Linked DNA regions of Saccharomyces cerevisiae S288C. The gene in region 1 interacts genetically with each later gene. Each region holds a gene or a part of one and is shown on either strand. Other genes may lie near its edges. The genes, in order: MYO5, ARC40, BZZ1 and SHE4.

Region 1 (7,510 bases):
AGAAGAGAGAGAAGCTAGATTATCATTACAGCAGCCACATAGTATACCAAATTCCAGTACAGGCACACCAGAACATGATCAAGACACTTAGAGGAAATGGAACAACGAATTTCCAGCCAAAAATTCCGAGTAGTTCATGATGAAAGATTTTTACATGCATTTTATATATAAATATATACCGTCCTATATGGATTTCATGCCAACAGGGTATATAATAGACAATTACCGGTGTACTGATATATCAACTATCGACTCCAAGCCTTTTATCTATCAGTCAATTTTACATCAAGATCCCACTTTTAGATAGGTTCGAAAATTCAATCTAATATTAGTGATTTAATTAGATGGTGGATTGCTTACCCTTTTTTTTGTCGTTTTAGGAGGAGATTCTTCGGATTTTAGGGATAAACGGATACTCCATATATAAAAAACAAAACTTCAGGCATATTGATTATCTAAAAGGAATATTCTAAAACCATAGCCATAGTAATTTATCACCAACATGTCAAACGACGGCTCAAAAATATTGAATTATACCCCAGTGTCTAAAATAGATGAAATAGTTGAAATCTCAAGAAATTTCTTCTTTGAGAAACAATTGAAATTGTCCCACGAAAATAACCCAAGGAAAAAAGATCTAGAATTCAGGCAGTTGCAGTTGAAAAAACTCTATTATGCCGTCAAAGATCATGAGGAAGAACTGATCGATGCTATGTACAAGGACTTTCATCGGAACAAAATTGAATCGGTTCTGAATGAAACGACCAAACTTATGAACGATATACTTCACCTAATTGAGATTTTACCAAAATTGATCAAACCTCGGAGAGTATCTGATTCTTCTCCTCCATTTATGTTTGGTAAAACAATCGTGGAGAAAATATCAAGGGGCAGTGTCTTGATTATTGCTCCTTTCAATTTTCCCCTACTTTTAGCATTTGCCCCATTGGCAGCAGCTCTTGCTGCAGGTAACACCATTGTTCTGAAGCCAAGTGAACTAACACCACACACTGCTGTAGTTATGGAAAATTTGTTAACCACAGCTGGTTTCCCTGATGGATTGATTCAAGTAGTTCAGGGAGCTATAGATGAAACTACAAGACTACTAGATTGTGGAAAATTTGACCTAATATTCTACACAGGTTCTCCCCGTGTCGGATCAATAGTTGCTGAGAAAGCAGCAAAAAGTCTAACACCTTGTGTACTTGAACTTGGTGGTAAATCACCTACCTTTATTACAGAAAATTTCAAAGCAAGTAACATAAAAATTGCTTTGAAAAGGATTTTTTTTGGTGCTTTCGGAAATTCTGGCCAGATTTGTGTTTCACCAGATTATTTGTTAGTACATAAATCTATCTATCCAAAAGTCATTAAAGAGTGTGAATCAGTACTAAATGAATTTTATCCAAGCTTTGATGAACAAACAGATTTCACTCGTATGATTCATGAGCCTGCTTACAAAAAGGCCGTTGCAAGTATAAACTCAACTAACGGCTCCAAGATTGTGCCTTCAAAAATTTCTATCAATTCAGATACTGAGGATCTATGCCTTGTACCACCAACCATAGTTTATAACATTGGTTGGGATGATCCTTTGATGAAACAGGAAAACTTTGCTCCTGTATTGCCCATCATTGAGTACGAGGATCTTGATGAGACCATTAACAAGATAATAGAAGAACATGACACTCCATTGGTGCAATACATATTCTCTGATAGCCAAACTGAAATAAATCGTATCTTGACGCGCTTAAGATCTGGTGACTGTGTTGTCGGTGATACAGTGATTCATGTAGGAATTACCGACGCTCCATTTGGAGGGATCGGTACTTCAGGTTATGGTAACTATGGTGGATATTATGGATTCAATACCTTTAGTCATGAAAGAACAATTTTTAAACAACCATATTGGAATGATTTTACCCTTTTTATGAGATACCCTCCAAATAGCGCACAAAAGGAAAAGCTCGTCCGTTTTGCGATGGAAAGAAAACCTTGGTTTGACAGAAATGGCAATAACAAGTGGGGGTTACGCCAATATTTTTCATTATCTGCCGCCGTTATTTTAATTAGTACCATTTACGCTCATTGTTCTTCCTGAACGTAATGTTTAAGGTTAATTAATTATTTGATGTATAAGTAACCTTTCGTTTAAAAATTTCATATGGGCGATAATATATCAATATTTATTAATTACAATTTACTCTATTTGCTCGTATAGAGTATATACTCGCTAAATACATTTTGATTACCAATCATCTTCCTCTTCATCTTCGTTAGCCTCCTCGTCATCACTCTCTAATCTCATTTTATTGGCCCTAGCAGCAAGCGCATTCGCCAAACCATCACCCAAACTTGCTTGGGCTGCAGCTGGAATAACGTTTGCAGAGGTGTTATCATGTTGTACAGAATTCAGAACGGGTTTAGGAACATCCCTGTTTTGAGGAGGAGTAGGGATATTATTATTTCCGGAATGTGGTTTCATGTAAGCTGTTGGCACCCAACCTTCCTTAGAGCCATCCAGAAGTTTCCCGAGAGACCAACCGCTTGGTTCTTCTCTTGTAATGTAAATTACGTCTCCTTTCTTTAAAGGTAACTCAGATGGTGATCCTGAACCAGGAAAATCGTAAGCCGCTTCAAACATGGGTTCTTTTGGCTTTGAAGAGGGTGGGGGTGGAGGAGGTGGTGGAGGGATATTTGCCTGTCTACCAGAGCCCATTGCGGCAGCAGCGGGTGTAGCAGCGGGTGTAGCACGAGTGGCAGCAGTAGGGGGAGAAGGACGGGCATTACTTTGGGATGCAGTGAGAGTGGAAGCAGGATTAGGAACAGATCTTCTTGTAGCAGCTTTGTTCTGCATTCCTGGTGGTGGAGGGGCAGGCTTTTTAGAATGCCTAGAAGCCGGGGCGGTGGGAACATGCTGGGCTGCAGCAATCGAAACTGGCCTCCTCGTTGCTTGCGAGGAACTAGCATGATATCCTGAAGAGATTGAACTCTTTTTTCTCGGTTTTTTGTGCACTTGAGAATTAGGTGGGTTACCACGACGAACTGATATTGTACTGGATTTATATATGTCGCCATATTTTGGTGCAGATTCATTGATTTGACATTTCACTGAATGCAACTTTCCAGGTTTCTTTTGGTACTCTATCGCCGAGCCTATTTTAATTTGAATTTTGTCGTTAAGCCTTTTCAGATGCGTTATGAGTTCTGTTTTGAAATATGTGTTGATTAAGGGGTCAGGTTGACCTGAGCTAGCCAACTTAATGGCGACCCAATCATCCTGTAAATTGGTTAAACTAACCGCTTGAATGTTTCGCACATCGATTTTATAATCCTGAGTATAGGTCATAGCATTTTGGACCAAAGTCTGACCAACAATGTACAATGTAGTTGGAGTTAATAGGAAAGTTTTTTTCAATCTTTGTGCAGAACGGCCAAATTTTGTATGCAAGGCCTCACCATGTATGGAAAAGATGACCTTCTCTTTAATGCTCACTTGTCTTTTGATATAAGCGCCCTTCGATTTGGACTCGTTGCATGATAGATAATCACCCATGAAGGCTCTGTAACCTAATAAGGACATAGACCTTCTTTCTTTTCTTCCACCCAAAACCTTCGTACCATAATCCCGGAGCTTCTCATACTTATTACCTTCCTTCCTCTCCCTGATGGTGCGCTGGATCTTAGTGGCCGCATCAATTCTTCTTTGCAAAAATCTCCTCCAAGCACGTTGGATTCTGGCAGCCATATTGTGCCAGTATCTATCTCTCATATGCTCCAAAGCAAATAATGTTTCAGGTGTTTTGATGAAAACACTTGTGACACCCAATTGGTACTCCTGCTGTGGGATAGAGGAATCTTGCAATATATACTTAACAGCATCTAAGGTATCACCTTGCCATGTATAGTCACCAGCGTAAGAACAGTGTGGAGATAATAAATAAAATCTTTCCACGAACTTCTCAAACACTTGTCTATATGCAAAACCTGCTCTTCTGATACGCACGTTTTCTTGCAGACCTAGATACTTAATCTGGTGTAGAACTTGCCGATCGTCATAATCGTTAGGAGATTTGGTTTCGTTTGGTTTAATTGTTCTGATATATGAAGGTTGTGCTTTTGATAAAGTTTCAACCAAATCATTTGCACTCTTTATAATTTTGTCGCCTGCTGTAGGTGGCCTTCTTTTTGATTCTCTGTCTACAGTATCCGGGAAAATGGTGGCTAAAAATGTATTGGTAGTGGTACCAATTAATTCTACCAGATCCTTTTGTAATTGATCCTTATTTTTATCTGTAATACCGTCAATATCGTATGTGACATCACCGGCATAATGCTTAATAACAAACTTGTTAGATCTCAAGTCAAAATGTGGATTTGTTGTGAACAAGTTCAAACGCTGAGCAAAAGCCTGATCAGCAGCATTTGAATCCGCGTGTGCAGTTGCAACAGAATCATTCATTGCTGCAAATATACCAGGTGGTCTTCTTGCCTCAATCAAATCACACACAACCTTGTTATCAAAGTATTTAATTGGGGTCCATTGGATTTTTTCTCTCTCGTAAGTTTCTTGCTCAGATTTCAATGTCAATTGAATAAAGATTTGTTGTAACTTTTCATTAACATAATTGATACAAATCTGCTCAAAAGAGTTATGTTCAAAAATTTCAAAGCCGTAAATATCAAGAATACCAATGGATTTTTCAGCGCCTGGAAAAGCCTGCAGAGATTTGTTAACCCTACTCACAATCCAGTCAAATAAGTTATTGTAAATAGCCTTTGCCAAAGCATCTCTAACCGCATCTGCTTGGACAATATTCAATGGAACATGATACACTGACCCTCTTTTCATACCATGATTGGTTTCCATAATTCTTTCCACAAGTGATTTAATCAGCAATTGGCTATCTATTTGTAACAAGTAAGCAACAAAATCGGTTACTGAGGTGTCCCTAACTTGCGCATTCCCCTCCTCATTTTCTATAAAGGAAACATTACCAATCCAAAGAATTGCAGCTAACATCCTGAAAATTTGGTCTTGTTCTTCTTGACCGAGACCAATAACTCTCATAGCTTTTAATGTCTCTTGATAATCTTGCAAATCATCAATTGTCTCAGCAGATATGCAACCCGCAGCAGCTGTGTACACATATTGTTCCGGTTTTTGGACCCCAAATGTTTGCCTATAAGCATCGGAAGCACCTTTCGTGAACTGATAGAATATATGGAAATTTCTTTCATTCTTAATTTGACTCACAACTCTCTGCTTCTCCAATAAATAGTTTGTGATATTACCAGCACATGGTTCAAACTGGTTATTGAATTTTATTTCTAGATATTTCCCATGTCTAGAAGAGTTGTTATTTCTTAGAGTCTTTGCACAGCCAAAAGATTCCAACAATGGATTAGTGGCTAAAACCATGTCTTTAATCTTTCCAATTGACTCCGTATGTGTGCTAGAAGCAGCCGCAATATATTGCATAATTCTTTTAGCTGCTTCAGTTTTACCGGCACCTGATTCACCTGAAATAATAACACACTGATTTTCATTATATGATTTCATGTTGTAGTACATAGACTCTGCAATTGCAAATACATGGGGTGGAACTTCCAATCTATTCTTACCTTTGTATTCATTCATAACAGCATCAGTATAGATTCCGAGGTCTCGGAATGGATTGACACTAATTAACACATGACCTATATAAGTGTAGATTGTAGCATTCAAAAATCTCTTCTTCAAGTTTTCATTTATGGCTTCGTCGGAGATTTTAGAAAGAAGCGTCAGATCAGACACACCAACTTCTTTCTTCTTCGAGGAATCAAAAGTAGCTTTCTTGATATTCGCAGAGCGTTTAGCTGGCTCCTGATGTACCTTTTTTCTAGCTCCTCTTTTTAAGATAGCCATTTCTATAAAGCGGTTAAATTCGTATTGGCCACTGTTCTTATGCTTTATTATAAACTATAACCTTTAAATACATAGTCCAGTTTGTATTTTCCAAGCTTGCAATTTTTGACGGCCCCTTTTCGAGAAATATTTTTGATGATTGACAAAACGAGAAAGAAGTCGTGTCCGACGAGTTAAAACACACCATTTGAATACATATGCTACGTATCCACTTTAGATTTATCAAATACTACCAACTCACTTGAATTGAACTTATTATTCATCTATGACTTAATTTTAGCCGTCATTAGTTTTTTAGAAAAAAATATATAAAGTATATACGAAAAAAATATACATGACTACCGATTTGGTAGAATGTCATATATAAGAAGCACGATTAAATAATAATAAAGTCTGCATTTTTTACTGAAAATGCTTTTGAAATAAATGTTTTTGAAATTCAGTGCTTACCGCCTGTACGCTTATGACGTAATTCAGTCTGTTGTCTTTCAACTTCTGGGTCAAAATTTATGAACTCGTCTAGACCGCTACCACCTGCCACCATTGGCAAAACAGGAACTTTTTTATCAACTTCCACTTCAAGCAAAACTGGGCCCTTGGTAGAAACGAATTCTTTCAACTTAGCGTCCAATTCCTCTTGCTTCTTGACTCTTAAACCTTTTAAACCCATAGCCTCCGCTAGTTTTATGAAATCAGGGTTCAATTGATGTGTGTGGGAATAACGATGTTCGTAGAACAGGGATTGCCATTGAGTAACCATACCTTGCTCTTCATTGTTCAAAATCAAAATCTTCACTGGAGTACCAGCTTGAACGGCAGAACTCAATTCCGTTAGAGTCATGTTAAAGGATGCGTCACCATCAATGTCAATAACCAAAGATTCTGGCTTTGCAACTTGAGCACCGATGGCGGCAGGGAGACCGTAACCCATCGTACCTAAACCACCTGATGTGATGAAAGTATGTGGATTTCTCCATGTCCAGTGTTGAGCAGCCCACATTTGATGTTGCCCCACACCCGTTGTAACAATGACATGTCTTCCTGTGTCGTTGGCAACCTTGGATAGTTTCTTTATAACCGTCTGTGGTTTAATTTTAGATCCTGGAGTCTCCTCCATATAAGCGTATGGGTATTCCTTCTTCCATTTATTTATTTGAGCAAACCATTCAGACCTCTCCTTAACTGGGAAAATCTTTGACATCATTTTGCCCAGATTGGTCGTAGCATCACCTTCCACTGCTATTTGAGTTTGAACAACCTTGTTTATGTTTTTTGGACTAACCTCGAAATGAATAATACCACCTCTACCCTCGGCAGCTGCACGACGAGCTTCTGGAGCGAATTTAGAAATATTACCAGTGACACGGTCGTCGAATCTAGCACCAACTGCAATTATCAAGTCGGCATTTTGCACTGCCAGGTTGGCAGTAGCACAACCGTGCATACCAAGCATATCCAATGATTTTGGATCTTCTTGGTCGAATGAACCTAAACCTTGTAAAGTAGTGGTGACAGGTATTTGAGCACGGTCACTTAATTCTTTTAGTAATCTTGGACCATCTGCATGGTTTAAAATACCAGCACCGACGTATAAGACAGGTT
Region 2 (5,313 bases), on another chromosome or scaffold:
CAGTAGCCAGTCAAAGTCGCTGTGAAACATACACGGCGTTGTAGTCACAGTATGGAACACAATCTTTCACCTTTACAGCAAGAAGTATTGGACAAATACAAACAGCTTTCTTTAGATCTAAAAGCTCTGGATGAAACTATAAAAGAACTAAACTATTCGCAACACAGGCAACAGCATTCACAGCAAGAAACTGTATCGCCAGATGAGATACTACAGGAGATGAGGGACATAGAGGTCAAAATTGGTTTAGTTGGGACACTGCTAAAAGGTAGCGTGTACTCGCTTATCTTGCAAAGAAAGCAAGAACAGGAGTCTTTGGGTAGCAATTCTAAATAATGGTTTGGTGCAAGAAATTGATTCTGATGCTTTATTTTTTACGGTACACTACATTGTGCTGTGAGTTGTAATAATATAGTCTGTATATGCCAAGTGAAGAAAAAAACAATACAAACTCAAGGTGTATTATGAGGTAGGGAATACACATAACAATATATATATATACGTATGTATATTTAAATTGTATAAATGACGATCTTACCGTCTAACCCACAGGAAGAGACTTGTGTGATTTGGCCGTTGGATTCCGCAAAAGGTCTTAATTCCACAATGGCGTTTTCATGTGCACTTTCTTGGACATCTGTGCTAACTTTACCTTTCAAGTCTAATTCTTTAAACTTTCTCAATGCGGAAATACCGAAAGTTGAACTTTCATCATTATTACCACTCAGCTCGTCTGTATTACCAGATGCAGTTAAGGCAGAAGACTTGTTATTGTCTGATTTGTCTAGATTCTTCGCAAATTTCCAGCCTTCAGAGGCTTCGCTGAACAATACCGGATGACAAGAGTATCCTCCACAAACAATCTCGTGGTCGTTTATCCATACTAAGGACCTGTAAGGTAAACCTTCCGGAGCATTGACAGATTGCACTGGAGATTGGTAATCGACAACATTCAAAGTACCATCATGCGCTACATAAGCAATTCTTTCCATCTGACTTCTCCATTCCACATCATGGATATAAGAACCCTGATACCACTCCCTGATTAAACAACCAAAAGGGAATTTCTGGCCCCAGGGTGATCCGGCGACGGATTCCTTGGAATCCAAACCCTTGATAAACCCGCTGAACACACGCATAAACCCATCAGTACCACCAGCAGCTAATAGGACTCCATTTGCATGCCAAGACAGGCAATTGATGGTAGATTTGATGGGTTTCTTGATGTGCTTGGATACCCACCAATTATTCTCGTGTTCGTAATAACAAACAGCGATGATTCTAGCACTGGACCCAACAGCAAACTTATAACCATTTGGTGCCCATGTAACTGAAGTAGCTGCTCTGTTAATACGAAGAAGTACTAACGTGGGCTTGTATGTCCCATCACTCAATGGCTCCCAAACGTAAGCATTACGGTCTTGGGAGCAAGTCACAATACGACCATGTATGGAAATGTCCACAGCAGTAATGGTTTTATCATGATCTTTCAACGTTGCGAATAAAACGGGAGGTGTGTTGTTTGAAACTCTATAGACAAGACAATCTGTTTCGCATGTAACGGCTAAAATAGATTTATCTTGAGAAAAGCAATGAGAGTAGATTGGCGCTTTGACCAGCTTGTAGACGGCAACAACGGACTTGTCTTTAGAATTGGAAAATGACATTAGGAGACTCTCAACTAATATACGTTTACTTCGGCTTATTTTTCCTATTTTTCTTTGTTTCTAATCTGGAAGCTTTCTCGATCAAGATTGCTCTTATTTGACCCTTTTTCATTATAGGCAAGGCGCGGGCGGGTGACAAGAAGATTTTGATAATTGTGCAACTGATAACGTAGGATTCATTATCAACATTGTTGTTAAAGAGTAACAAGGAAATCTAAGAAATGGTTGTGCTTGTTGTCGAAGAAGTGATAGAGACAGTGTTTTTGCCAGCCAATTCTCTTTAAGAATAGGCCTTTCTTGTAGGATTAATGGTTAGTAGGTTTTATCAGATTCCAGGTACGCATCGGCCATCGTCGGCAATATCTTCTTCAAATGAATCTTCTTCACTGTTGTCTGCAAGGAGAATAAGTCAAACATATTTCAATTATCAGGCGACCCCTGAATGCCAAAAAGTTTCCTCTAAGTATGATCCTGATAACCCAAACAAAGATAAGTTGGGAACATACGATGGGGTATTTGTGCCTACTGCTTTAAACGTATTGTCTATCCTTATGTTTCTTCGTTTTGGCTTCATTTTGGGTCAGTTAGGTATTATATGCACCATCGGTCTTCTGCTATTGAGTTACACTATTAATCTTCTCACCACGTTAAGTATATCTGCTATATCTACAAACGGGACTGTTAGGGGCGGGGGTGCTTATTATATGATTTCAAGAAGTTTAGGACCTGAATTTGGTGGATCCATTGGGCTTGTCTTTTTCTTAGGGCAGGTGTTCAATGCAGGTATGAACGCAGTGGGTATTATCGAACCTTTACTCTATAACTTGGGTTATTCTGCTCAAGGCGAGCCACCTGCAGCTTTGGGAGAGCTACTACCAAGAGGGCATTGGCACGAATTTACATATGCCACGGTCATTCTTTTCTTATGTTTTTCTGTGGCTTTTGTTGGCTCGCAAACAGTGTCAAGAGCAGGGAATATTCTTTTTTTGGTACTGGCAGCTTCTATATTTTCCATTCCACTTTCTGCATTGATAAGATCGCCATTCACTGAAGGCGGTATCAGTTATACAGGTCCTTCATGGCAAACTTTTCATGATAACCTGCTCCCTCACTTAACAAAAGGTGCAGCAGGTTCGTTACTCAAAGGTAAGGAAACATTCAATGATTTATTTGGCGTTTTTTTTCCTGCTACAGCTGGTATATTCGCGGGCGCAGGAATGTCAAGTGAATTGAGAAAGCCCTCTAAATCAATTCCTAAGGGTACCTTATGGGGTTTACTTTTCACTTTTATCTGTTATGCCGTTGTTGTCTTCTCCATGGGTTGTTCCATTCCCAGAAGATCGTTATATGATGAAGTACAAATTATACAGACGATCAGTTCCGTTCAGTGGGTTATATTCATGGGTGAAATGGCTACTTCTCTTTTCTCCATCATAGTGGGGATGCTCGGTGCTGCTTATGTATTAGAAGCAATTGCAAAGGATAACATTATTCCTGGTTTGGAGATTTTTGCTCATTCACCGTTATATTCATTGATTTTTACTTGGATTCTAACACAGCTATGTTTGTTTTCAGACGTCAATAAAATCGCCACATTTATCACAATGACATTCTTAATGACGTTTGTGGTCATGAATTTGGCGTGCTTCCTATTAGGTATTTCCTCTGCTCCCAATTTCAGGCCCTCTTTCAAATACTTTAACAGGTATACTACAGCAATTGGCGCATTACTTTCTGTTGTTGCGATGTTAATAGTTGATGGCATCTCAGCGTCTGTCTTGTTTTTGGCTATGATTTTGCTATTTTTATTCATTCATTATTTTTCACCACCGAAGTCTTGGGGTGATGTGTCTCAAAGTTTAATATATCATCAAGTGAGAAAGTATTTGCTTCGCCTACGTCAAGACAATATTAAATACTGGAGGCCTCAAATATTGCTGTTTGTAGATAATCCAAGGACGAGCTGGAACTTAATAAGGTTTTGCAATCATTTGAAAAAAGGTGGTTTGTATATTTTAGGCCATGTTGCAGTAACTGCGGATTTTCCGAAGCAACTAAATGAATTAAAAACTCAGCAGAAAGCTTGGATGAAGATCAGAGACATGGCAGCAATAAAGGCTTTTGTCCAAGTTGGGACTGGTCCCTCCCTTATATGGGGAATTAGGAATGTTTTTATTGGTTCCGGGCTTGGAGGTATGAAACCAAACATTACTGTTGTCGGTTTTTTTGACCTCGAAAGTTATAGAAAGCACATCCCACAAAGTCGCAGCCAAAATAACCTTCAGAAACAGGTGGAAATAAAAGCTACAGTGCCACGTAGTACATGCTCTGATGTCAAAATCAATGTTCCATTGCCTACGGATGAGTGTAAAAATGAAACCAAAGTTAATGTACAACAATGGGTTCAAATTGTAGAAGATCTATCACTGATGCAATCCAATATTGCCATAGCGCATGGATTCAAAAATTTAGAGATACCGAACAAAAGGGACAGCTGCTTTCCAAAAAAAACTATAGATCTTTATCCCATCCAAATGTGCGGAAAAGTTGAGGCAAAGGGTGACCAGCCTGCGGCTATCACTACTAACTTTGATACGTATACACTGATTCTACAATTAGCTGCCATTTTGGTTACTGTTCCTGAATGGAAGCGCACACATTCGCTTCGAGTTATTTTATTTGTGGAACAAGAATATCATAGAACGAACGAAACTCAACGAATGAAAAAGCTATTACAGGTTCTAAGAATTGACGCAGAGGTTTTGGTAGTATCTTTAGATCAATTCAGAGTATACAACACAATTGTCAAGGGAGACCCAATCGTGTTTGATTATGTCAACTCGAAATTGGCCGATAATGAATGGTGGAAAGATTTGGTTGAAGCTCGTGATACATTAAAACCGAAGCGGAGGTTTTCCACTATTGAACCTCAAACGATAGCAAAGCAATTTACACAATCAAGAAAATATACGTCTGGGGTTCAGAAATTGGGTGTCTCATTTACAATGAATACGAGAATGCCAACTAACCGCATTGATACCCCATGCGAGAGTGAGGACTCCGATTTGGATACAGATCTTACGTCAATTCGTGATGCCTTCTCGGCATCGACTAATATTTCAGTAGGTAAGGACTTAACGACCAAATCGAAGACCGGTTCCGACAGAACAAATTTACTCGTAAAGAATTTACAAAGCGATGTGTCAACACAGTCGTTAAGACCCGTTTTCTCGAGTAATACTTTGCCGAGGACGAGAGTCGTGGAAGATGGCACGGGTGAACAGCCGACACTGATCCCAATTGCCGAACCTGACCTTTCGAATGGGAACGGTACTGGGAGCGGTATTGGCAACGGCAACAAATTAAAGAAACCGGTTCTTCCCGAATTATCACCTTGTTGTTCAAAAGATAGTTTAGTCACAGCGATGCAAAATTTAGGTTTCAATGATCTTCCCAGCACTGCTCAACATTTGGTTCTGAATGATGTGATGACACAAATGTCAAAGAGTTCGGATTTAATTTTTTCAACCTTGCCAGTTCCAGCTCTTGGAACACATGAAGATCACGATGCAAGTTTACAATATGTCGAGGACTTGGATATTTGGTTGGAGGGCTTACCTCCATGCATGTTAATCAATTCGCAAAC
Region 3 (5,695 bases), on another chromosome or scaffold:
ATTGAACAAGTCTTGGAAATTAAAGGCCAATGCATTTAATAAAGAAGCCTTGAGCCGAATAAAAAATCTACAGAAACTAACTACTGGTTTAGAACAAGAAGACTGTTCCATTTGTCTAAACAAAATAAAACCTTGCCAAGCCATTTTTATATCACCATGTGCCCATAGTTGGCATTTTCATTGTGTAAGAAGATTGGTTATTATGAATTATCCTCAATTCATGTGTCCGAACTGTAGGACAAACTGTGATTTGGAGACTACCTTGGAATCCGAATCTGAATCCGAATTCGAAAACGAGGACGAAGATGAGCCAGACATTGAAATGGATATAGACATGGAAATAAATAACAATTTAGGTGTTCGCCTAGTAGATTGATCACATGAAATTTTGTGCTATATATATATATATATATATATATATATATAACATAGAGTCGTCATACCTCTCAAAAAAGTGGCGGCCAGGGAAAATATTTAATAGTTTCAGTTCATTCCTTCGTTCATTTACAGTAACTTGTAGGAAATAGACCTTTCAATCCGTCACATTCACCATATGTCCACCCGCTACCGTCATCGCCTCTGATAACAGTAATTATGTCCCCCGGATCAATTGAAATCTCATCATCTCCCTGTGCTTCGTAGGCATATATGGCCTCCATCGTCCTAACAGGTAGTGTACTCCTTCTTGGTGGTGGTACTTCTGGTGCAGGGCCTCTATCATTTGCTTTAACTGTAGCCGCGCTAGATATGCGAATATATGTGGTGGGTACAAGGCCGGTTTCCCCAGTGGTGTCGTTATTTATCTTAGTCCATCCAGAACCCGTATCGCGTGCAACCAAAGAGATTTTGTCTCCTGGCGTAATGGTGATTTCGTCATCATCCTTTTGTACGTATGCATACAACACTTTATTCTTGCCGTCATCACTGGAATTTTGTGTGGTCTTTTTTGTATTGTTGGTACTAGTGGTGCGTATAGAATTATTATCTGAATCTTCACCAGCGTTGTTAGGGGCAGAGCCTAGCCTAGTTCTTCTTGATGTGTTGAAGAGACTTGTTATATGCAAGGGTCCTCCGTTGCCATTACCAGTGCTCCCTCCACTCGAAGGCTTCGAGTCGACGTTCAGGATGTTGTGTTTGAACTTACTGAATATCCCGGATTTCTTCTTTGTTTTGGAAAGATCAATATTGTCTGTGGATAAATCGTATTCTTCAGGAACATTATTCTGAATACTTTCGATTTGAACTTCGGCTTGCAATTTTAATGTTTCGTGTGAGGTAAAGGGTGAAACGACATTTAAGTATTCCTTTAGTGTATCATAAAACTTAGTGGCATTGATATTATCTTCATTAGTTTTCATTTCGTGCTTTATCTTGTTCAAAGTAGACAGTTTGGATAACTCATTTTGAGTTTTATCTTGCAATGAATTGTAATCATTTTCTGCTTTTGCCAGTTTTATTCTCAAGTCTTCAACTTCCAACGACGAGGGAACAGCAAATTTTTCATCATCATGCCATACTGGAGATGGCTTATAGACAAAGTCTTGTGGTTCTTTCCAATTCTTTAGATTGTGCTTGATAAAGATGGCCGTGTTTAAAGAGGGTTTATTCTGCTTGACAACAGAATTTGCCGCCTGGAGTCTTTTGCTGACATTTGCACCCAGATCGTTCTCGACAGAAGCCGCCTTCAACCACAGATCATTTAAGAAAAGGGTCTTTGCCTCATTTACGTCTTGTAGAAGATCTAGCACTTCAGGAACATCTTGAAAATAGTATTTATCCTTAGTTCTATTTGCCTGGTTGATCTTGATTAAATATTCATTTTTACACTTGTTCATCTCCATTTCTTTTTCATCCAACTTCTTTTTATTTCTATCATTAGATGCCTTGGTATACCTATTTCTTGCCATTTCCATAGTGGAACAGGCTTCATCATAGTCCTTCTTCGCTTTTTCCAGTTCGTGGTAAATGTTATCCTTTTTATTAACCATGTCATTGTTAAATCCATTTATCTTGCTCAAAGTCATATCAAGTTTAGTGAATAATCCACTCAATTGATTTGCTACATGATTTTCAAAGTCGGTTGATAACTGATCATGATCCTTGGAAATCATATCAGTCTGAGATAGAATTTCATTCCATGCAACCACACCTGCAGCTTCAATGGACCCTGGCGTGGTAGTAGGTGTGTCACCTACCGAGATAGGAACTGAGGTCGAAGACTTCTTATTAAAGTACTCTGCTGATAAGCGAGATAATCTCTCGCTGTAGTCTTTTTCTAACTTAGCCCTTTCCCGATAAAATTGCTCAATGTCCTTCAACCATTTTAAGTTATTTTGGACCCATTTATGGGTTTCCTTAAATGAATCTTTAATTTCATTACCAATCGATAAATCTGCACTCATTTTTATTGCAAGTAATGTAGTAGTTGGCGTTTAAGGATAGATTTCCGCTCATACAAAATTGATCAATCTGCTACCTTCTTCAAAAACTATTTGCGTACAAACTAAATCTGTCTATTCCTTTGCTAAGCGTATATTCTTTTAAAAACTTTTTATTTTTCTGAAGACCCCGCGAAAGCTTATGTAGATCACAAGATATTATATATATTTACTATTTGTAAAATACAAAAGAGGGCAATAAATATACCGGATTATGAATCATCTAACAATTGCAGTTTAGACAACAATTTCAGATTCTATGGAAGTGTAGCGTTCAAAAAATTCCTTAAATAACTTGATTTGGAACTCCAGGTCTGCAGAGCCACCGGTCTCTCTAATCGAATGCATACTCAACACAGGATTACCCAAGTCTAGAGTTCTAATACCTGTCTTTGAGGCCAAAATGGGGCCGATGGTAGAACCGCATGGTGAGTCGTTAGCTACGACAAACAATTGCAAAGGGACTTTAGCAGCCTCTGCTAGTCTTTTCACCAAGACCAACCCTGGTGAATTGGTCATGTAACGTTGATTCGCGTTAATCTTGATTACGGGACCACCACCCAATAAGGGTTTGTGTTGGCTTTCGTATTTGTTTGCATAGTTTGGATGAACTGCATGAGCAACATCAGATGAAAGGAAAAACGACTTAGCGGAAGTTTCCAATATTGCCGAGTGAAACAAAGGTTTAGTTTGATCAGAACCGTCCCCCTTCAGGATGGACAACCTTTCCAATATATTAGGCAAGAAGTTAGAATCTGCCCCTTGGGCGGAGGATGAGCCAATCTCCTCATGATCAAAGCATGCCATCAATCTAATGCCTGATTCTCGGTCAATTTCTGTGTCAGCCGCCAACGTTAAACCGTGCATTGATGTGAAACAAGATGTCAAATTATCCAATCGACCAGAGAAGACAAACTCATCGTTGAACCCACCTAGAGTGGATGCATTATGATCATAAAGGATCAATTCGAAGTCTTCAATGTCTTCAATTGTATCAATGGCGAGTTCTTTGGCTATTAGCCCCAAAAGTTCTGCGTGATGCCTCTGTACTATCGTTTTTATGGAGGTAAACTCACCGTTATTAATTTCCTTTTCAGTTTTCGCTTCAGTTTTGTCTTCTTGCAGACCACCAATCGGCAACAGTTGAGTTTCTCTATTAAACTCGAATTTTTGATTTACGTCTCTGTCCAGATGAATAGCCAAAGTAGGAATCTTTAACAGAGGTCTATTCAAATCCACCAATCTAGCAATGGATTTGCCAGTTTTCGCATCCTTTACGAAAACTCTTCCGGCAACGCCCAAATCCTTATCAAACCATGAATGCCAAATAGCGCCACCATAAGTTTCCACGCCCACTTGTAAATACTTCTCACTGACTCTTTTAGAAATAGGCTTAATCCTTAATGCGGGGGAGTCGGTGTGAGCACCCGTAATGGCAATTGGATTACCAGGCTCCCACTTTCCACCAACAGCAAACGCAATAATGGAAGAGCCATTTCTTGTCACAAAGTACTTTCCTTTTTGTGCGACGTGGCCAGCCCACGAGTCACGTTCGCTCAACTCTTTGAAGCCATTTGACACCAGATGCTTTTTGATGTTATGAACTGTATGGTAAGGAGAGTGTGAGCTATTTAAGAAACTGACAAACTCCTTTGGGTAATCACTCTTGCATGTTTTGCTGGACATAGTTCTCAGTTGTATCCTGAACATAGAAAAGCTGAACCTTTTATTCTTTCTTTTTACCTACTTGCTCACATAACATGAATTTTTTCTTTCATTCATACAGGAGGAAAACGCCCTTTTTTCTTTCATTTAAGAGCGTGGAGATATCTGCAACTTTTCAGCAAGTATGATAAGGCTAAAATGATAAGGAATAGAAAACCGTAGCCAGAAACTAGTATCTCGAAAGCCAAGGCAGGCTTCTGTTGCAAAAATAAGCAGACCTTAAACTAAAGGAGTTTACTCCTTGGCGGAACACTGAATCACATTATATACGTAAGTTGAACGGGACTATTTATCACGTGTGATTATGTGGTCTCCATGTCAGTCGCAATATTTACAGTATATATAAGGGAAAGAGGGCCAGTTGTAATAATTGTAGTACGTGAAATAACTGTTTCTGAAGTCCTTCACATACGCTTTGGTACGGGATTAACCACTTACTGATAGACCTCAAGGATATCTTGTGAGTTCTTGTCAAATGGTGAAACTGTGGTTTCTATTTTTTTGCGGTGTTTAATTCAGAGTGCGATCACTTGATGGGTTTATGCAACACGCGATATATAAGCATATTGCGCAACAATAGATCGTTGCAATCCCTCCATCTCTTCAAATGTTGTAGTACATGCTATAAAGGAAAGATTGCACGAAAAGAGTACGTAAGATGGTGGACTTGTCAACAGCTTTGATTCATGGCGATGATAAAGATAACAGGGTTACTGACGTGGCGCCCCCAATTAATGTCTCTACAACCTTCCGTTACGACGATGACGACCTAATTCCATGGACAGAGCGTGAAAACTTGGACTTTATGGAGAAGAAGCCCGTATATTCACGGCTAGCGCATCCAAATAGCACCAGATTAGAGAGTATCTTCTCAGAGATCCTCGATGGTTATGCTGTCATTTATTCTTCAGGGTTAGCTGCGTTCTATGCGGCAATGGTACATTACAACCCTAAGAAGATCTTTATCGGACAGAGCTACCATGGTGTTCGAGCAATTGCTAACATATTGACCCGTAATTACGGCATTGAGCAACACCCCTTGGAAGATATTGAAAAATGTGCTTCTGAAGGTGACATTGTCCATCTGGAATCTCCTGTAAACCCATATGGTACCTCTTCTGATATCGAGAGTTTGGCCCGCAGAGCTCATGCAAAAGGCGCCCTGCTTATAGTGGATTCCACATTCGCATCTCCTCCATTGCAATACGCATGGAATTTCGGAGCCGATATTGTCCTATACTCTGCTACTAAGTACTTTGGTGGTCATTCTGACTTGTTAAGTGGCGTCCTTGTAGTCAAAGAGGAAGCAACTTCCCGACAACTAAAAGACGACAGAATCTACTTGGGTACAAACGTGGCAAATTTGGAAAGTTTCATGTTGTTGCGATCCCTGAGAACCTACGAAATGAGAATAACCAAACAATCAGAAAATGCTACGAAATTAGTTAGATTTTTGTCAGATCACCAATCTGAATTTGACAAAGTATTGAAGACGATTTACCACTCTTCTTTACAAACAGAAGAGTTCGTTA
Region 4 (6,550 bases), on another chromosome or scaffold:
GTGATATTGGACCGTCACAGCAAAGAAGACAAAAAGTTTGTGATTTTTTAAGCCAACATCATTATAAATCCATGGACAATAATGGTCATATCTGGCCACCAGGGCGCCGCTAAAGAAAGAATATTTACTCCTCAAAGGCTTCCTTTCTAATGTCTCAACACAAAAGTTTTCCCTATCAAACTTCCCTAAGTCAATCAGTTGTTTTATTGTTTCTTGTATCGAAGTCAAACTATCATCCGTTTTCAGACAACCAGGATCTGACCGTACTAATCTCAGAAATAGTACAACTGTGAGAAAGGAAGTAACCAAAAACTGGACGTTTTTCATGGTATAGTCAGATACACTATATGGATAGAGTTTCTTCGTCCATATATATATTAAAAAACAGAAAGTGGACAGAAAGAGGCCACTGAAAAAGGGAGTTCTAGTCAAAGAAACTTTGTAAGTGTTTTTTCTGGGAAGGCATGGTAATACAAACTTCTTTAATGTGTTGACCATGACAACAGTGACCAGTAGGGAAAGCATAATGGCTAGCACTGGAGAAAGAACGAGAGAAATTAAGTATATGTAAACCATGAGTAAAAATGGTGACAAAAAAATTGTGAATTGTGCATGCGAGCTTTTCTTGAACAGTTTGTCTTTCTGATTTCCAAGCCTGTCATATCCATGATGTTGCAACGCTTGTTCAAAAAGTGATTTGGTTCCCATTCCTTCGGCTAGATCAAAACAGTCTTGCTTCTGGTTATTCCTTTCGTAGAAATTTGCACCGCTAAGTATTAAGTCACATATGACCCTTTGATCACCTCCAACTAGAGCACAATGGAGAGCATTGAACCCTCTGTTGTCCGTCCATGCAACTGTGGAGCCAAATTTCAATAAAAGTTCTACAGTGAGAAAATCTCCTTGATAAGCAGCCCAAAGTAGGGGTGTTCTGTTATTGTTATCTTTTGAATCGATATCGACGTTGTCATTGTTGTTTACGACAAAATAAAGAACATAAACAACAAGTAAAATGTTAGAACTGTAAACGCTAAAATGCATGATGTTAAGACCCTGCTCATCTTTGAGCGTCGGATCAGCGCCATGTTTGAGAAGCAGGTCAACAATGTAGATATTACCGTACCTTGCGGCCCAGTGCAAAGCAGTAGCCCCTCCGGGGCCTGCCGCCTGGTTAGGATTTGCTCCCCTAAGTAATAGGAACTTTGCTACAGAAAACCTATTGTTTATACAGGCCCAGTGTAAGCCGGATAATTCATCAATGCGGTCGTTATTAATATCCACTGCTCCACTTTCGACCACGTCCTTCACCACTTTTAAATCCCCATCCTTAGCGGCTTCAATGAAAATATCAACCACATATTCAGTGTTGGATCCATCGCCTAGAAGTTGCGCTTTGTTATTGTCCGAATCACTTACAGCGTGTTGAGCCACATCAGTGACAACAGCTGCCCCATTAGAAGTTTTTTTCACGTTCTCATCATCAATAATTGACATACTGGTCATAAGAAACAGTAGAGTATTTCACAGGTAATTAAGATGTTTATCTGACCGATGAACTTTACAACTTGCTAGTAAAAAGTTGGTGGAGTTCAGTTATTATTAAATGAAAAATGCAAAGTTTTGACGCTTTCTAATTGTAAACGACAAAGTGAATGATAAAAAGATCGCTGAACGAAAGATGATTCCAAATACTCAAAAATAGCAGCCATACAAACTGGAACTACTAAATTCAACTAAGATTAAGCGATTAAGAAGTCAGGCTCGTTTAACAACAAGCTTGGTACATCCCAGGCTGCACGAAGTCGTAACTTAAAAAAAAATAAAGAAGCGAAAAAGAGAAGATCATTTCCTTTGGCATCTATTGTTTGCGAAGCCATCGGACCGAGGCACCTTTGAAAAAAAAAAAAAGGAGCACTTTCTTCCTTTTTCTCTCACCCAGATTCTTTTAGAACACGTAGGGTACCAGACATAATTTAGAGTAGTGTGATACTTCTGGTGTAAAAATAGAACAAAATATATAAAGGGCACCACTACCAGAGGATATTCTCTGGCTACGAAAATCTTACATAGTTCTTGTGTGTTCATTATCAGGGTGCTGTTGTATTTCTTAGTGAAAATTAAGAAGAGTTAAACATGGCGATTCTTTCCATATTAGACTTTAATTTTAGCAAGGATAACGGGAATTGCCGCTGAAAACTCTGGTCCTGAATCGCCTCTCTTTAAAGACATATTTAAAGCATCCTTTAATTTTTGATTTTCTTGCAGCAACGGATACACCTCGTTAGTGCCATTATCCGGTATCACTTCGAATAATCCAAAAAAAAGCATAAGTAACCTTTGTCTTAACTCAATGTCATCAATTTGATCCGCAAATACCTGAATAGCATTTTCGATTAGTTCTTTCTTGGTTAACAGTTCCTTAGCTATCAATGGAATCGTGGTGGCAATGTTAGCAAAGATAGCAGCCACTGCTCGTTGAGACTCAACGTCGGATAACTGAAGAAGTTTCACCAATATATTAAAATTTCTCAAACTCTGAGGATTTTCCAAGTTAAAGAACTTAGCAGCAATCGTTAATGGATGACTCATCATATTACTTATGAGCTCTAATGTTGATCTTTGCAAAGGAACGTTTTCGTCTAGCATCAGATTCTCAATCGTGGACCAATATACTTTTGTAGATACGATATGCTTGCAAACTTCTTCACCATCAGAGGTCTCCGATGATGCCAAGTTCGTCAGAGCTAATAGTGCCTCGTAATTGTCTGTCAGCTTTATTTGTTCGTCGTTATGTAACGGATTGTCATCCACTGGCGTAGACCTTGGCAACAATTCGAACAAGAAGGGGATAGCGTTTAATGCAGAGTATTTTTTAAATATCAAACCCGGATTAGTGAATATTAGCATTCTTGTTAATGCCCGACACCCTAGAATCCGTATTGGCTCCCCTATGTCCTGCTTATTGGCCAAATATTCTAAGATGATAGTTGTACCACCTTGTGAAATGCATTGAGGAATGAAGTTTTTCGAGCGGGTTATGTTATATATAACCCTAACCACTTGTTGTTTACAATTGGGGCTCAAATTGTGCATTTCCCTCTTCAAAAAGGAAATCAGCTCGGTCCTTAATATGTACTTTTCGTTAAACAAAAGAATATCTTCCTTTGATTCTTTCTCTGCGCCTACCTTGTCTGCGCCTGGGCCCTTCAAATCTGCGTAATTTTTTAAGTCATTGATAGACTGTGAACTACCATTGGATTCCTCTGGTAAAGTGGACAAATTTGCCATGATAACTAAGAGACCATATAAACAGTGCGTCATTTTCTGGCTTTTAATCATAGTTAATAGAATTTCAGTAAAGCTCTCGTTACTCCTAATCATAATCTTAACCGAGGCCTTTAGACTTAAATATGCCAGCGCTTCAACGGACATTTCAACTTTAGGAACCTCCTCGAGCTTAACCGCACTTTCATTGACATTTTCAATTTTTGGCATGATACGTCTTGAAATAGCGTTTATAAAGATTTCGGACAGTTGCTTCAAGTTTATACACGTTAATTTTGTGAAAGACCATGTCTTAACTAACACCAATGCAGAATATATTTGTACATCTTCCACGTTTAGTGATCTTTCCAATAGTTGAAGGTAATTTTCTGTAATATACGTTCTCATGGTCTCATCAATACACGCGGAAGATAATAACCGCAGCAGTTCTTTTGTAAACTGTAAATCCTGCTCTTCGAATACTCTCTTCTTAAAAAGCTTACTTAGTCCTTTGGTCAAAAATATTTCAGAACAAAGTGTTGTCAATGAAGGATATAATTCTGATAGGGTTTTGACTATGATGGACAATGGATCATTTCCAACGTCTATTTCTGCCTCCACAATTAAGCTACTCATGAAATCGACCACTGCTTTATCAAAGTCTTTTTGGAAGCTTGATTGTAATTCAGCAAAAATTATAAGCATCATCGATTTTACTTCATCTTCGCTTATGCGCAAAATAAGTTCCTTCACTAAAAATCGCACCTCCTTGAAATTGTACTTGAACTTATTCAATAGTTGTAGAATTATGCTCAGTAAATACGTGACGTGGGTGTCCTCGCCATAGTGTATCCTAATTTGCAGCTCATTTAACAATGCAATTGTTGCGTCTTTATTGGAAAAGCAACCAACGAAAACGTGGATGGATGATCTTGATAATATTTCAAATAAATTGAGTGCGAAGGGAATATCATTCTGTATAAGTTTAGATAAATGTACGCGGGACTCAGAATGGTCTTGGTAAGACCTGGTCAATATTTCTTCGATTTTCTGACGATCTTTAAGGGCTTCACTATTCGTTAAATCAGCCGGCATTTTCCCAGATTCAGATTTTTGCCTTAGCTGGAAAATTGTATTTATAGCATCATTGTATTTTTGGACATCAGGGGTGGATTTCAAAGTCTTGTCAAATGCAGCGCAGAGGCTATCAATAGTAGAGCTATCGATTGGATCATTCCCTTTCTCACACAGTGGCATCGTGATTCTAATTTTTTAGTAATCTTTTCATGTGAGTAGTTTAGATAAAACGTCTTCACTATTAAGTAGAAGATTCGTAATTGGATTTAAGCCTTCGTGCCTTATCGCGGCTGATAATCATCATGATCGACGATGAACTACTGCGCCAGAGTATAATCCCCTATAAAACAGGCCTGCTATCACTCCAAAGAGAATGCTTTTATAGAAGAATATAACGTAAATTACTACAATAATTGTGTTGAGATGTCGGAAGACGAATTTTTTGGTGGTGATAATGAAGCCGTTTGGAACGGTTCCAGATTCAGTGATTCACCTGAGTTCCAAACGTTGAAAGAAGAGGTTGCTGCAGAGTTATTTGAAATAAATGGGCAAATAAGCACGCTGCAGCAGTTTACCGCGACACTTAAGTCATTTATAGATCGGGGAGATGTTAGTGCGAAAGTTGTGGAAAGAATTAATAAGAGATCTGTGGCAAAGATAGAAGAAATAGGCGGGCTCATTAAAAAGGTCAATACATCAGTGAAAAAGATGGATGCGATTGAGGAAGCTAGCCTGGATAAGACTCAAATAATAGCGAGAGAGAAACTTGTGAGGGATGTCAGTTACTCTTTTCAAGAGTTTCAAGGTATTCAGCGGCAGTTTACCCAAGTAATGAAACAAGTTAATGAAAGAGCAAAAGAATCTCTTGAAGCAAGTGAGATGGCAAATGATGCTGCTTTATTAGATGAAGAACAAAGGCAGAATAGCTCAAAAAGTACTCGAATACCAGGCAGCCAAATAGTCATTGAGAGAGACCCGATAAATAACGAAGAGTTTGCTTATCAGCAAAATCTTATCGAGCAAAGAGACCAGGAAATCAGCAATATTGAAAGAGGTATAACGGAACTGAACGAAGTTTTTAAAGATTTGGGAAGTGTTGTTCAACAGCAGGGTGTGCTAGTTGACAATATTGAAGCAAATATTTATACAACGTCAGATAACACTCAATTGGCTTCAGACGAGCTAAGGAAGGCCATGCGGTACCAAAAACGTACGAGCAGATGGAGGGTGTATTTGTTGATTGTGCTTCTCGTAATGCTTCTTTTTATTTTTCTCATTATGAAATTGTAAACCAAACCAACACACGTCGTCAAATATCATATACATAATATATACACTTAAAACAGATTCGTGTTAATGAACTTGTTTTGCACTTTCACTGTACAATGCATGGGCTCTCTCATAATATTTCTACGCCGTCGCATCTTAACCAGCCGCAAAGAGAGAGTATATTCCATAATTCAGTTTTTCGCCTTTCCTTGCCCTTCTGAAATGTTGTTAATATCATCATACCCTAATGAAGAGTGAAAATTCACTTAACCCAAGTGAAAAATACAACTTCGAAGAGTGCAACGTGTTGAAAGAACCCTTCAAAAATAGAAAAGAGGAAACGAAAAAAAGAAAAAGTAGCATGCTGTGGAAAAATTATGTTCTATCCAGTTCCCGAATAACACGTAGGCTTCATAAGTCACCTAGAAAGAGCAGCTTCTCTAAGAACTTTTTTATCACAGGCTGCCTACTGACAGTTGGAGCAGTAAGCAGTTATTTAACCTACAGGTACACAAGTGAGAGGGAAAACAAACATGAGTTATCTCCATCTTATTTTGTCAAGTACAAGATTTCACACAAGCGAGATATTGATTCATCACATTTTTTATTGGAAGTAACTCCGTTGTTTAAGCAGAAAGTTAACATATGGTCATTGATGACTGCGGAAAATCTGTGGTCCGTCGAGATCAAACAACCGGAAGTCATGGTGGTCCGCAATTATACGCCTCTACCGCTTAAATTTAACCCAGCTTCAAAAGAGATTGAAATCTTAAAAGATGGTGACAATGCAGATGGAAAATTATCTTTCTATATTAAGAAGTATGAGAATGGAGAAGTTGCAAGATGGTTACACCATCTTCCCAAGGGACATATAATTGAAATAAGAGGCCCGTTTATCGATTATGAGTTTCCTCATTTGCCTAATGAGCTAAAAAGATCT

What was found.
Region 2: mutations in MYO5 (region 1) and ARC40 are lethal when combined (synthetic lethality), as found in Saccharomyces cerevisiae (3 studies listed by BioGRID, with this or other methods).
Region 3: mutations in MYO5 (region 1) and BZZ1 together harm fitness more than expected from each alone (negative genetic interaction), as found in Saccharomyces cerevisiae (4 studies listed by BioGRID, with this or other methods).
Region 4: mutations in MYO5 (region 1) and SHE4 together harm fitness more than expected from each alone (negative genetic interaction), as found in Saccharomyces cerevisiae (3 studies listed by BioGRID, with this or other methods).

The regions. Positions count from the first base shown.
Region 1 is NC_001145.3:484,985-492,494, reverse strand, and holds MYO5 (myosin 5), read right to left. Parts: upstream 5,909-7,510; coding exon 2,249-5,908; downstream 1-2,248. Other genes in the region: EUC1 (Euc1p), read left to right, coding at 1-91; HFD1 (hexadecenal dehydrogenase), read left to right, coding at 503-2,101; ILV2 (acetolactate synthase catalytic subunit), read right to left, coding at 6,348-7,510. UniProt on the Saccharomyces cerevisiae protein: One of two redundant type-I myosins implicated in the organization of the actin cytoskeleton. Required for proper actin cytoskeleton polarization and for the internalization step in endocytosis.
Region 2 is NC_001134.8:684,926-690,238, forward strand, and holds ARC40 (Arc40p), read right to left. Parts: upstream 1,668-5,313; coding exon 513-1,667; downstream 1-512. Other genes in the region: DAD3 (Dad3p), read left to right, coding at 52-336; VHC1 (Vhc1p), read left to right, coding at 1,976-5,313. UniProt on the Saccharomyces cerevisiae protein: Functions as a component of the Arp2/3 complex which is involved in regulation of actin polymerization and together with an activating nucleation-promoting factor (NPF) mediates the formation of branched actin networks.
Region 3 is NC_001140.6:334,790-340,484, reverse strand, and holds BZZ1 (Bzz1p), read right to left. Parts: upstream 2,403-5,695; coding exon 501-2,402; downstream 1-500. Other genes in the region: ubiquitin-conjugating protein DMA1, read left to right, coding at 1-376; APE4 (aspartyl aminopeptidase), read right to left, coding at 2,676-4,148; YHR112C (putative cystathionine beta-lyase), read left to right, coding at 4,822-5,695. UniProt on the Saccharomyces cerevisiae protein: Plays a role in endocytosis and trafficking to the vacuole. Functions with type I myosins to restore polarity of the actin cytoskeleton after NaCl stress.
Region 4 is NC_001147.6:395,584-402,133, forward strand, and holds SHE4 (She4p), read right to left. Parts: upstream 4,522-6,550; coding exon 2,152-4,521; downstream 1-2,151. Other genes in the region: putative palmitoyltransferase AKR2, read right to left, coding at 1-1,503; YOR034C-A (uncharacterized protein), read right to left, coding at 1,843-2,085; SNAP receptor PEP12, read left to right, coding at 4,765-5,631; CYC2 (oxidoreductase), read left to right, coding at 5,972-6,550. UniProt on the Saccharomyces cerevisiae protein: Required for mother cell-specific ho expression. Might be required for the transport of factors (such as ASH1) that promote HO repression from the mother cell into its bud.